Linked DNA regions of Arabidopsis thaliana. The protein of the gene in region 1 interacts with the protein of each later gene in a pairwise test. Each region holds a gene or a part of one and is shown in the gene's direction. Other genes may lie near its edges. The genes, in order: CARA and CARB.

Region 1 (5,133 bases):
TGCCCCGTAAGAGTCAGTGCTCAAGGGTTACAACAATCAAAGAAACAATTTTTTACCCCATATGTCTAAAATCTTCAAAACAGATCATTGTAAACGCCACAACATTTCAATGCATAAACTATTTACTTCCGATCCAATTCGCATATCGCAATGAACCATTTCGTAAATTTTTCGCTACCCGAATTGATTTCAGCTCGAACCAAATCGAAAGAACTAACCATAGCAACAGAATATAGTGCAATCTTTGCCAAAAGTGTATGAACTTAATCAAAAACCGAACCAAACCAAACCGAAAACCCGAAAATTCAAGGTTTTAGAATTGAAGATTTGAGTGAGACTTGAGAAGCCAAGTCTGGCTCTCCTAGTCTCAAGAGACCCTTACTCAAAACCTCAGCGACATACTCATCAGCCTCCCATGACTCAGACCCCCAACCACTTTCCCTCATCAAGGTATAAACCCTAACCACCGACTCTCTCCTCTCAGCTCCAACCACAGCCCTAATCAACTTAGCTAAAGCCTTATCATCACTTCTTTGATCAATTCCATCAATTTCACCAATAAGACGATCTATCTCATCGAACTCTTTATTCCTCGTAAGAGCATTAACAATGTCTGCGTATAGAACAAGGTCAAGAGGAGGATACTCTGTACGGAGAGTGGAGAGTACATGGACAGCGAGTGTGCAATAGTCTTGACGGAGAAGCTCACGGAGGACGGAGATGAGATCGGATTTTATGAGACGGCGGAGAGGACGGAGGGTAAGGGAGAGGGAGACACCGGTTCGATGAGCTCGTTTGAGAGATTGGATTGATTGGATTGCTTCGGTGCTTAGGATTCGGCCTTTGAGAAGTGGTCCGCGGTTGTCTCGTGGACCGCATCGGATCGAAACGAACGTTCTCTTAGGAACGATGACGCTAAGGGTATGGCTATGGCTAAGGCTTGGTGGTCGAGTCTGGCTGAGAGAAAGCGCCATTATTAATCACACCAATCTTTACGAGTGTGGTTGTGTGAGTGAGAGAGATGGTCTTTCATTGGGCAAGCCCATATTAATTTATAAAAGGCCCATATGTGACACAAAATTAATTAATTTATACTTTCTAATTATGCGTCGTTTATATTTCTGTTCCCGCTAATTTCTCTACACGAGTCTATCATTACACTTGCAAGAGCGACTCTATCTTCTTCTTTTTTTTCAAATTCTTGTTTCGTTAAAAAGTTAAATTTTATACCAATTTGACGACTTTATCTTCTTCTTTTTTTTTCAGATTGTTTTTTTTTTTGTTAAAAAGTTAAATTTTATACCAATTTTAATTTTTAACATAATTACAAAGATTACAAAATACATATAAAAATAATCTACAGAAAAATAAATACAACATTACTACTAAAAAAGGTTTGGATCGCTTCTAAGCAAAGAAAGCCAAGTTACAAAGAGAACCACCGAATTCGATCTTGTAAAACTTAAGAATTCGCGTGATTTTACCATATGACCTAAGTACTGGAATCTTCATATTTGTTGCCACAATTCTAACTGAAATCAGTCTTCAAAAAATCAAGATAGAATGCTAGCAACATTCTATCTTAAATCTTATATTTCTTTAACTCGTTTAATTACTAATATCCTAAAACATTTTTACCTTATTAAAATATAAATATATGATTTTTTTACTTTTATTTAACCTTATATTTATTCTATTTCGAATTTATATAAAATCTATTTATATATATAATTATTTAAATATTAAATTTAGACATATATTCGATACTTTATTCTATTTTTATAATAAACAAAACTATGATTTTCATCCCTTTTTATTTAGCAACAAAACTATGATTATGTGACCAAATTTACTAGAGAAAAAAGTCAACAAAAGTCAAAGCAAGATACTGTAATAATAACAACGAATTAATTTCAAAAAAAGAGCTATCGACCCACCAACCCTAAAAAACCTTGACGCCGTTTTCTTCTTCGATCTTCTTCTTCCTCCAGAGAAAACAACATGGCCATGGCAACAAGGACTCTAGGCTTTGTTTTGCCTACGAGCTTATCTTCCCAGCCTTCCTTCGACCGTCGCGGCGGTGGATTTAGGGTTTCTGTCATCCGTTGCTCCACTTCTCCACTCACTTTTCCCACTTCTGGTAAATTTTGCCTTCATTTCCGTTTCAAAATTGATGAAATTGTGTATTGTCTCCATTGGGTTTTAGTTCTTGAATAAAGGGTAAAGCTTGGATTTTTCGTTTGATCGAGAAAGTCTCTGTCTTAAGAATTAGTGCCAAAACCTTTTAGTGAAAGTTTTGATTTTTGCACATCGTAGGTGTTGTGGAGAAACCTTGGACTTCGTACAATGCTAGGCTTGTGTTAGAAGATGGTTCTATCTGGCCTGCTAAGTCTTTTGGTGCTCCTGGAACCCGTATTGCTGAATTGGTGTTTAACACTTCCTTGACAGGGTATGTTTTGTTCTTTGATTTCATTATATCACCTCAAAGATTGTTGATTTTAGCTTACTGAATCTTAGATTTTGTTTGTTTTTGGAAGGTATCAAGAAATTTTAACTGATCCTAGTTATGCTGGGCAGTTTGTGCTAATGACAAACCCACAAATTGGTAATACTGGTGTCAATCCTGGTAAGTGGCAGTTTCGAAACTTTCGTATACACTAGGAACTTATGTTCTCAATGTTTCTTATTACATTTGTAAATGTTTGTTGTAGATGATGAAGAATCTGGGCAATGCTTTCTTACTGGTTTGGTGATAAGAAACCTAAGCATTAGGTAAGCATTTTCCTTGATGTGTCTTTCCATTATCCTCCATTTTAATGTCCCTGACTTCTTGAATTGTGAAATGTTCAGTACCTCAAACTGGAGATGCACGAAGACACTTGCTGATTATCTAACCGAAAGGGACATCATGGGAGTTTGTAAGTTCCTTGTATTCAACATACTATTTAGATTGTGCATGAGATAAAGTTGCATTTGAAAACATCTCTGATTACTCTATTTTGGGATGTTTTTGTAAACACTATCAGATGATCTTGACACTCGAGCAATAACCCGTCGGTTAAGAGAAGATGGTAGTCTTATCGGGGTGTTGAGCACAGAACAGTCCAAAACAGATGATGAACTTCTGCAAATGTCTCGTTCATGGGATATCGTAGGTCAGATTTCTCCTGCCATTTCCTGTTTTTGGCAATTATAATATAACACTTGGAATATTGAACTCCTTCTGTCTGCTTTTTTGAATCTTTGAATCTTTGTAGGTATTGATCTAATAAGTGATGTTTCATGTAAATCTCCCTATGAATGGGTTGACAAAACAAACGCTGAATGGGATTTCAACACGAATTCACGAGATGGGAAATCCTACAAAGTGAGTATTACTTCTCTACTTTTGCTCTTATCGATGCTTTTTACTCTCTCTTTCTATACTTTTCTTACTCTCTCTTTCTATACTTTGTCTCTTGAATTCAAAGGTTATTGCTTACGATTTTGGAATCAAGCAAAACATCCTAAGACGCCTTTCATCTTACGGATGTCAAATCACTGTTGTTCCGTCCACATTTCCAGCTGCCGAGGCGCTGAAAATGAATCCAGATGGGATTTTGTTCAGCAACGGTCCTGGAGACCCTTCTGCTGTGCCATATGCTGTTGAGACAGTTAAAGAGCTTCTCGGTAAAGTCCCTGTTTACGGAATCTGTATGGGCCATCAGTTGCTTGGTCAAGCTTTGGGGGGTAAAACCTTCAAGATGAAGTTTGGTCATCATGGAGGAAACCACCCAGTTCGTAACAACAGAACTGGTCAGGTGGAGATCAGTGCTCAGGTACCAATACCCAACCTCAAAATGTTCCATTTAATTCCAAGCATACTACCAACTAAGGATTTGAACTTCCACATTCAAAGTTCGGATAATTATCTGATAAAACGACTGTGCTAGGAACATTGTTACAAGCTTGACAAAATCTAAATATGGTGTATCATTGTCTTTTTTTCTGTAATTCTTGGCAGAATCACAACTATGCGGTTGATCCAGCTTCACTTCCCGGAGGCGTAGAAGTAACACATGTCAATCTCAATGATGGAAGCTGTGCGGGTCTATCTTTCCCGGAAATGAATGTTATGTCACTCCAGTACCACCCTGAAGCCTCCCCTGGACCTCACGACTCTGATAACGGTAACTGTCCTCTTTATTCCAGTCACTTGGTGAAAGACACTTATGCTTCAGTCGTACTGAAAAACCAGAAGATTAATGTGATTATTTTTTTGCTTATGAATGCAGCATTTAGAGAGTTCATAGAGCTTATGAAGAGATCGAAACAAAGCTCCTGATCAATGAGAAGTACTCTTTGTTTTTGTACGTTGCTGTTTTTAATCATGGCACTTAAATTAAAACCAACTGTTTTGTTAGTGATAATGGATTGGCATTATTGTTTCTTTGCTTTGACTGTATTGAGCAACCATCCAACCTATAAAATAAGTAAGATTTTGTAAAAGTAATAAAGAGATAAAGAGATGTGAGAGTTTGTGTCTTTTGATATAAGAAAGCTGGGAAACTCTTGTGACTTGGGGTCAATTCTTGGAACATTTCATGATCCTCCATCCTAGTACCCTCGATAACCCCATTGGCCAGAATGAGGTTCAAATGGCTCAACGTAACAGATGATAGGAACTGATTAACACATAGCAAACAATTGGTGTTTCTAACTCTGGCTCTCTGACCTTGGAGCCTTAGAGAACAACCTTGCCGTTCTTCCTCCAATGGTCCACTAGTTGAAACTAAAGTTGTATCAATCATTTATCAGTGAATTAGGATTTACTTTGAATGCAGTTATTTAGAAATGAAAGTTATGAAAAACAAAAGAATCTGAAGCAAAAACCGGATTAAAACAGATCTAAATTTTTTTATCATTCTGTAATTTGCAAAGTATTGGCTACCGCCAAAAAACTTGTTCCCTTTTGTTTTGTATTACATGACCAAAAGTGCGTGGCGTTTTTTGTTTTTGGGATTTTTAAATTTTCGGAGAGATCCAAACTGCGTGACGTTTTGTGTTTCGGGATCTTTAGTTTTGAAATAGATCAAAACTGCGTGATGTTTTCTTATATGGGACGCAGCGTTTTCGGCCATTAACTAGTAATTT
Region 2 (6,991 bases), on another chromosome or scaffold:
GAATGGCATTTCAGATCTGGACTTGATCGCTACATATGGATCATCGGCATGATATATGCATATTTTCATCCCACTGTAATTCCAGAACCATGGTGCTTTCATTTTTTCCATATCTCCTCTCGAAAGACGCAACTAAATATATTGGGGATTTCAGGTAGAAAGATGGATGGAGAAATTGGAGGAGTGTGATGCTAAGAGAAGGATGTCAATCAAGACAAGCATAATAGGAATTTCTTCATTCGTGAGTTGTTAGCTTTTCTCGGCTTCTGGTTCATCATATATAGTCTTCTCCACAATTATTCTGATGTTTGTGTCGTGGTTTCCAAATGTTCAGGCTGGTTACCTTTGGTATGAATACATCTACAAGCTGGACAAGGTTACGTACAACAAATATCATCCCTACACATCTTGGATTCCAATAACGTCAGTACCAACAACTTTGTCTTTTCTTCATTTTCATGGTTCATGCTAAATCTTGAGATAATATGCTTTCTTGATTTATGACCTTTGGTTTTAAATCTGGAACAGTGTCTACATCTGTCTGCGAAATTGCACCCAACAGCTACGGAGATTTTCCCTGACACTCTTTGCGTAAGATTCTCAATCTCTTAATTCCTTATTGTTACCTTCTTGTTCACAGTGCACACAGCTTTTTGACCATGATCTCTCTCTAGGTGGCTGGGCAAGATAACTCTCGAGACCTACATTTCACAGTTTCACATCTGGTTAAGGTTAGTGGGATCTACAAATCGAAGCATATGTTATTATAAAGAAACTTCACAATGTGGTTAGTGAAGCCTTTATGGTTAACATATGTTAGTATAACAATAATTCTCAATGTGGTGCAGATCGAGTGTGCCAAATGGGCAGCCAAAGTTGCTATTATCAATCATCCCAGAATACCCAATGCTCAACTTCATGCTCACCACGGCCATCTACGTCTTGGTAAAAAAGCATCGGTAAAACCATTCTATGCTTTTATCGTTTTATTACTTCTTACACTTTTTTTTTCCTTCTTCATTCAGGTATCTGTTCGACTTTTCGAGCTAACCAATACATTAAAATCAGTTTTCATACCCACGAAAGACGACAAACGGCTGCTCCACAACGTGATTGCTATGGCTGCGATATCATTTTGTTTATATATTATCGGTCTTATTCTTCTCTTGATCCCACATTAACTTTTGTACTAGTCCCTGATCCCTTATTGTCCAGTTGCACCATTATCAAAAAGGATGACGACTCTGAACAAATGTTTCCATTACAGAAGAGACGTCACAAACCTGAGAAACACAAAGTTAAAGTTAGTTGCACAGAGAAAAAAGCTTTTACTACTATATCAAACGTGCAAACACATATAATACTACTATATACAGTTAAAAAGATTGATTCTATAGAGAAGGACATGCGGTACTAGAAAAGTTTGCAGTTTAAGGAAACCTTACCAGATGCGACTGTTATATATAGTACATTATCTGTTTAATCTACTGTAAAGTCAGCAGAAGAGTTGATGATCTGAGCGAAAGCAAAAGCAGTAAGTACCTGCGACCGCATTGACTACAAAATAAATGCGGTAATTAGTTTTGTAATTCGTTGACTTTCTTATTTACTCATTTTAAAACCGATTTGGAATATATACTATATTTAAAAGTCATATAGAGTATAACTTTAATAACATGACACGAATAACATTTGTTTTTAATGAAATAAATCTATATCAAATAATATTTATTGGATTTACTACCAATAAAACTCCATTCATTATAACACCATTTTATATTTTAAACACTCTTGAATAAAACAATAATATTCTAATTTCCAAAAATTTAATTATTTTTTTAAACCAGAGACATAATATCTATCATATTATGGATACGATTCCATAAATGACGAAATGATACATTCTAACCAAAAAAAAAAAAATCATTTCTCTTTGCAACTTTTTGGAAGAGTTAATTATCTTTTTATGTCATTTATCATATTTTCCCAATAATTGTTGTTGAAAAAATGGATTGTCATAATCAAATACAGCAGGATTGAGAAAGACAAAATAAATACCAAACCGGAATAATCCAAATTTCGAGAAACCCTAAAACCCTCTCTCTCGTGTCTCACTCTCTTCTGCAGCAGTCTCCAGTTACAGAGCCGACACAGGCAAAACTTAGAAGAAGAAGAAGAAGAAGAAGCAAAAATGAGAAACCATTGCTTAGAACTCTCTTCCAATTGTTCCTCCATTTTCGCTTCTTCCAAATCCAATCCTCGTTTCTCTCCTTCCAAGCTCTCCTATTCCACTTTCTTCTCTCGCTCTGCCATCTATTACAGATCAAAACCAAAACAAGCCTCGTCTTCTTCTTCCTTCTCCACTTTCCCCCCATGTCTCAATCGGAAAAGCTCCCTCACGCATGTTCTCAAACCCGTCTCAGAGCTCGCCGACACCACTACCAAGCCTTTTTCTCCGGAGATCGTCGGCAAGAGAACCGATCTGAAGAAGATTATGATTCTCGGCGCTGGTCCGATTGTCATTGGACAAGCTTGTGAGTTTGATTACTCTGGTACTCAAGCTTGTAAAGCCTTAAGAGAAGAGGGCTATGAGGTTATCCTGATCAATTCGAATCCTGCCACTATCATGACTGATCCGGAAACTGCTAATCGGACTTATATCGCTCCGATGACTCCTGAGCTTGTCGAGCAGGTTATTGAGAAAGAGAGGCCTGACGCTTTGTTACCAACCATGGGTGGTCAAACCGCATTGAACCTCGCGGTTGCTCTTGCTGAGAGTGGTGCTTTGGAGAAATACGGTGTTGAATTGATAGGAGCTAAGCTTGGTGCGATTAAGAAAGCTGAAGATCGTGAGTTGTTCAAGGATGCGATGAAGAACATTGGGCTAAAGACTCCACCTTCAGGGATTGGGACCACTCTTGATGAGTGTTTTGACATTGCTGAGAAAATTGGTGAGTTCCCTTTGATTATCCGTCCTGCGTTTACTTTAGGTGGTACTGGTGGTGGAATTGCGTATAACAAAGAGGAGTTTGAGTCTATATGTAAATCGGGTTTGGCTGCGAGTGCGACAAGTCAAGTTCTTGTGGAGAAATCCTTGTTGGGTTGGAAAGAATATGAGCTTGAGGTGATGAGAGACTTAGCTGACAATGTTGTCATTATCTGTTCCATTGAGAATATTGATCCTATGGGTGTGCACACTGGTGATTCCATCACTGTGGCACCTGCACAGACTCTAACGGATAGAGAGTACCAGCGGCTTAGGGATTATTCCATTGCGATTATACGGGAGATTGGTGTTGAGTGTGGTGGATCTAATGTGCAGTTTGCTGTCAACCCGGTTGATGGTGAAGTTATGATCATAGAGATGAACCCTAGGGTCTCAAGATCTTCTGCTCTTGCTTCCAAGGCTACAGGGTTTCCCATTGCTAAAATGGCTGCCAAGTTGTCTGTTGGCTATACCTTGGATCAGATTCCTAATGATATCACGAGGAAAACACCGGCTAGCTTCGAGCCCTCCATCGATTATGTGGTGACTAAGGTTTGTCATTCCATACTTTTGGCTTTATTTGTGTTGCGAAATGAGATACGCTTGACTTTGAAGATTTACACACATCTATCCACTTCATGATATATAAACTCAAATGCATATTTTGCTTAACGATATCTATTTCTTTACCATGCAGATTCCTCGATTTGCATTTGAAAAGTTTCCAGGATCTCAGCCATTGCTAACGACCCAGATGAAATCTGTTGGGGAATCTATGGCTCTCGGCCGTACATTCCAAGAATCTTTCCAGAAAGCTCTGAGGTCTCTGGAGTGTGGATTCTCGGGTTGGGGTTGTGCAAAAATTAAAGAGCTAGATTGGGACTGGGATCAGCTGAAATACAGCCTAAGAGTCCCAAATCCTGACAGGATCCATGCGATATATGCTGCCATGAAAAAGGGTATGAAAATTGATGAAATCTACGAGTTGAGCATGGTGGACAAGTGGTTCCTAACCCAGCTTAAAGAGCTCGTGGACGTCGAACAGTATCTTATGTCCGGAACCTTGTCAGAGATTACAAAAGAAGACCTTTACGAAGTCAAAAAGCGGGGATTTAGTGACAAGCAAATCGCTTTTGCTACAAAGACAACCGAGGAAGAAGTCCGTACCAAGCGGATTTCTCTAGGAGTTGTTCCATCTTACAAGAGAGTGGATACATGTGCTGCAGAGTTCGAAGCGCATACACCATACATGTACTCTTCATATGATGTTGAATGTGAATCAGCTCCAAACAACAAGAAGAAGGTTTTGATTTTGGGTGGAGGGCCAAACCGCATTGGTCAAGGGATTGAATTTGATTACTGTTGTTGCCACACATCTTTCGCCTTACAGGTATGTCTTTAGACAATCTAAGCGTCTCTCCCAAAAGCCAGTAAACATTGTTTCAACTTTTTTATGCTAAACTTACTTATCTACTTTTTTTAATTTATTTGCAGGATGCTGGATATGAGACCATAATGTTGAACTCAAATCCTGAAACAGTATCCACAGATTATGATACAAGCGATAGGCTCTATTTTGAACCTCTCACAATCGAGGATGTTCTCAATGTTATCGACCTTGAGAAACCTGATGGCATAATAGTGCAATTTGGTGGTCAAACTCCTCTGAAACTTGCTCTGCCGATCAAACATTATTTGGATAAGCACATGCCCATGAGCTTGAGCGGAGCGGGACCTGTTCGCATCTGGGGTACATCACCTGACTCCATTGACGCTGCTGAAGACAGAGAGAGGTTCAATGCAATTCTCGACGAGCTGAAGATTGAGCAGCCCAAGGGAGGCATTGCAAAGAGCGAAGCTGATGCATTAGCCATAGCAAAGGAGGTAGGGTACCCAGTTGTGGTAAGACCTTCTTATGTTCTAGGTGGACGAGCAATGGAGATCGTTTATGATGACAGTAGACTAATAACCTATTTGGAAAATGCGGTACAAGTTGACCCAGAGAGACCTGTTTTGGTAGATAAATATCTTTCTGATGCCATTGAGATCGACGTTGATACCCTTACTGATTCCTATGGAAATGTGGTGATTGGTGGAATAATGGAGCATATCGAACAAGCTGGTGTGCATTCTGGTGACTCAGCTTGTATGCTTCCAACACAAACCATCCCAGCTTCTTGTTTGCAAACTATTCGAACATGGACCACTAAGCTGGCGAAGAAGCTAAATGTATGTGGGCTGATGAACTGTCAGTACGCAATCACAACATCTGGGGATGTTTTTTTGCTGGAAGCCAATCCCCGAGCTTCCCGTACTGTCCCTTTTGTGTCAAAAGCCATTGGACACCCTCTTGCCAAGTATGCAGCGCTGGTCATGTCGGGCAAATCTCTCAAAGATCTTAACTTTGAAAAAGAAGTTATCCCTAAACATGTCTCTGTGAAAGAAGCTGTTTTCCCGTTTGAGAAGTTCCAAGGATGCGATGTGATACTCGGGCCAGAGATGAGAAGCACAGGAGAAGTGATGAGCATCAGTTCTGAATTCTCAAGTGCGTTTGCAATGGCTCAGATCGCTGCAGGTCAAAAGCTACCTCTATCAGGCACAGTCTTCCTCAGCTTAAACGATATGACCAAACCGCACCTGGAGAAAATCGCGGTGTCCTTCCTCGAGCTTGGGTTCAAAATAGTTGCCACCTCGGGAACAGCTCATTTCCTGGAACTGAAAGGCATTCCAGTGGAGAGAGTGTTGAAGTTGCATGAAGGAAGACCACATGCTGCTGATATGGTGGCGAATGGTCAGATCCATTTGATGTTGATCACAAGCTCGGGTGATGCTCTTGATCAGAAAGATGGGAGACAGCTCAGACAAATGGCTCTAGCATACAAGGTACCTGTTATAACCACTGTTGCTGGTGCATTGGCCACTGCTGAGGGAATCAAGAGCTTGAAGTCAAGTGCCATTAAAATGACCGCTCTTCAGGACTTCTTTGAGGTAAAGAATGTATCTTCTTTGCTCGTCTGAGTTAGTTTTTTTGTTGTGTGTTGATCGTTTGTGTGGAACTTTTTTACGATAAATTTTAACGGATTTTGTTACCCATAAGCATTTCTATGAATAATCTTCGAAAATGCAGCAAACTTGTGATTTATCAATCGGCTTTGTTCCTTTAATTCAGATATACACAAGCCTTTGATTGTATCAGGTCATGTAACGCTTGGCTTAAACTCGAGTTATGTTCTATAAGATTGTGCAATTGTAGAAACAGCCTCTTCATTTGAGCGAACCCAAGAACATTCCATTTGAATTTTAGTTAATACGAGACTAGTATGAGAGAAAATTGAGTTTGATTAATGACAAATCATACAAAGTCTTGCAAATTTACATCTGAAAGTCTCAAACCATCACATACAACCTTCTCTTTCTCCTCATGTCTCTCACTCGAATTCAAAAGACTGAAAGAAAAGCAAAATACAAACTGATAAAACTTGGCTCACTTTCCGGGAACAAAGTTGGTTGCGAAGGCCCATGCGTTGTTGTTGACTGGATCGGCCAAATGGTCAGCAAGGTTCTCTATCGGTCCCTTACCAGTGACAATGGCTTGAACGAAGAATCCAAACATAGAGAACATAGCCAATCTTCCGTTCTTGAGCTCCTTCACCTTCAACTCCGCGAAAGCCTCTGGGTCGGTAGCAAGACCCAATGGGTCGAAGCTGCCACCGGGGTAAAGCAAGTCCTCGGCCTCTCCCAACGGCCCATTTCCTGCGACTCTGTAGCCTTCAACAGCTCCCATCAAGATAACTTGAGTGGCCCAAATGGCCAAAATGCTCTGAGCGTGGACCAAGCTAGGGTTTCCCAAGTAATCGAGTCCTCCATCGCTAAAGATCTGTGAACCGGCCTTGAACCAAACCGCCTCTCCGAACTTGACTCCGTTCCTAGCCAAAAGCTCAGGGAAGACGCAGCCTAGGGCTCCGAGCATAGCCCACCTGCTGTGGATAACTTCTAGCTCACGGT

What was found.
Region 2: the proteins of CARA (region 1) and CARB interact in a two-hybrid assay, tested with the Arabidopsis thaliana proteins (one large-scale study listed by BioGRID).

The regions. Positions count from the first base shown.
Region 1 is NC_003074.8:10,280,661-10,285,793, reverse strand, and holds CARA (carbamoyl phosphate synthetase A), read left to right. Parts: upstream 1-1,858; 5' UTR 1,859-2,001; coding exon 2,002-2,140; intron 2,141-2,316; coding exon 2,317-2,449; intron 2,450-2,537; coding exon 2,538-2,626; intron 2,627-2,711; coding exon 2,712-2,772; intron 2,773-2,850; coding exon 2,851-2,918; intron 2,919-3,026; coding exon 3,027-3,155; intron 3,156-3,257; coding exon 3,258-3,367; intron 3,368-3,470; coding exon 3,471-3,818; intron 3,819-4,003; coding exon 4,004-4,169; intron 4,170-4,274; coding exon 4,275-4,324; 3' UTR 4,325-4,564; downstream 4,565-5,133. Other genes in the region: EMB3123 (PPR containing protein), read right to left, coding at 306-974. UniProt on the Arabidopsis thaliana protein: Small subunit of the arginine-specific carbamoyl phosphate synthase (CPSase).
Region 2 is NC_003070.9:10,465,973-10,472,963, forward strand, and holds CARB (carbamoyl phosphate synthetase B), read left to right. Parts: upstream 1-1,983; 5' UTR 1,984-2,191; coding exon 2,192-3,538; intron 3,539-3,683; coding exon 3,684-4,376; intron 4,377-4,480; coding exon 4,481-6,004; 3' UTR 6,005-6,239; downstream 6,240-6,991. Other genes in the region: RWA4 (O-acetyltransferase family protein), read left to right, coding at 1-75, 155-241, 335-423, 529-591, 675-731, 849-945, 1,026-1,181; CAB3 (chlorophyll A/B binding protein 3), read right to left, coding at 6,471-6,991. UniProt on the Arabidopsis thaliana protein: Large subunit of the arginine-specific carbamoyl phosphate synthase (CPSase).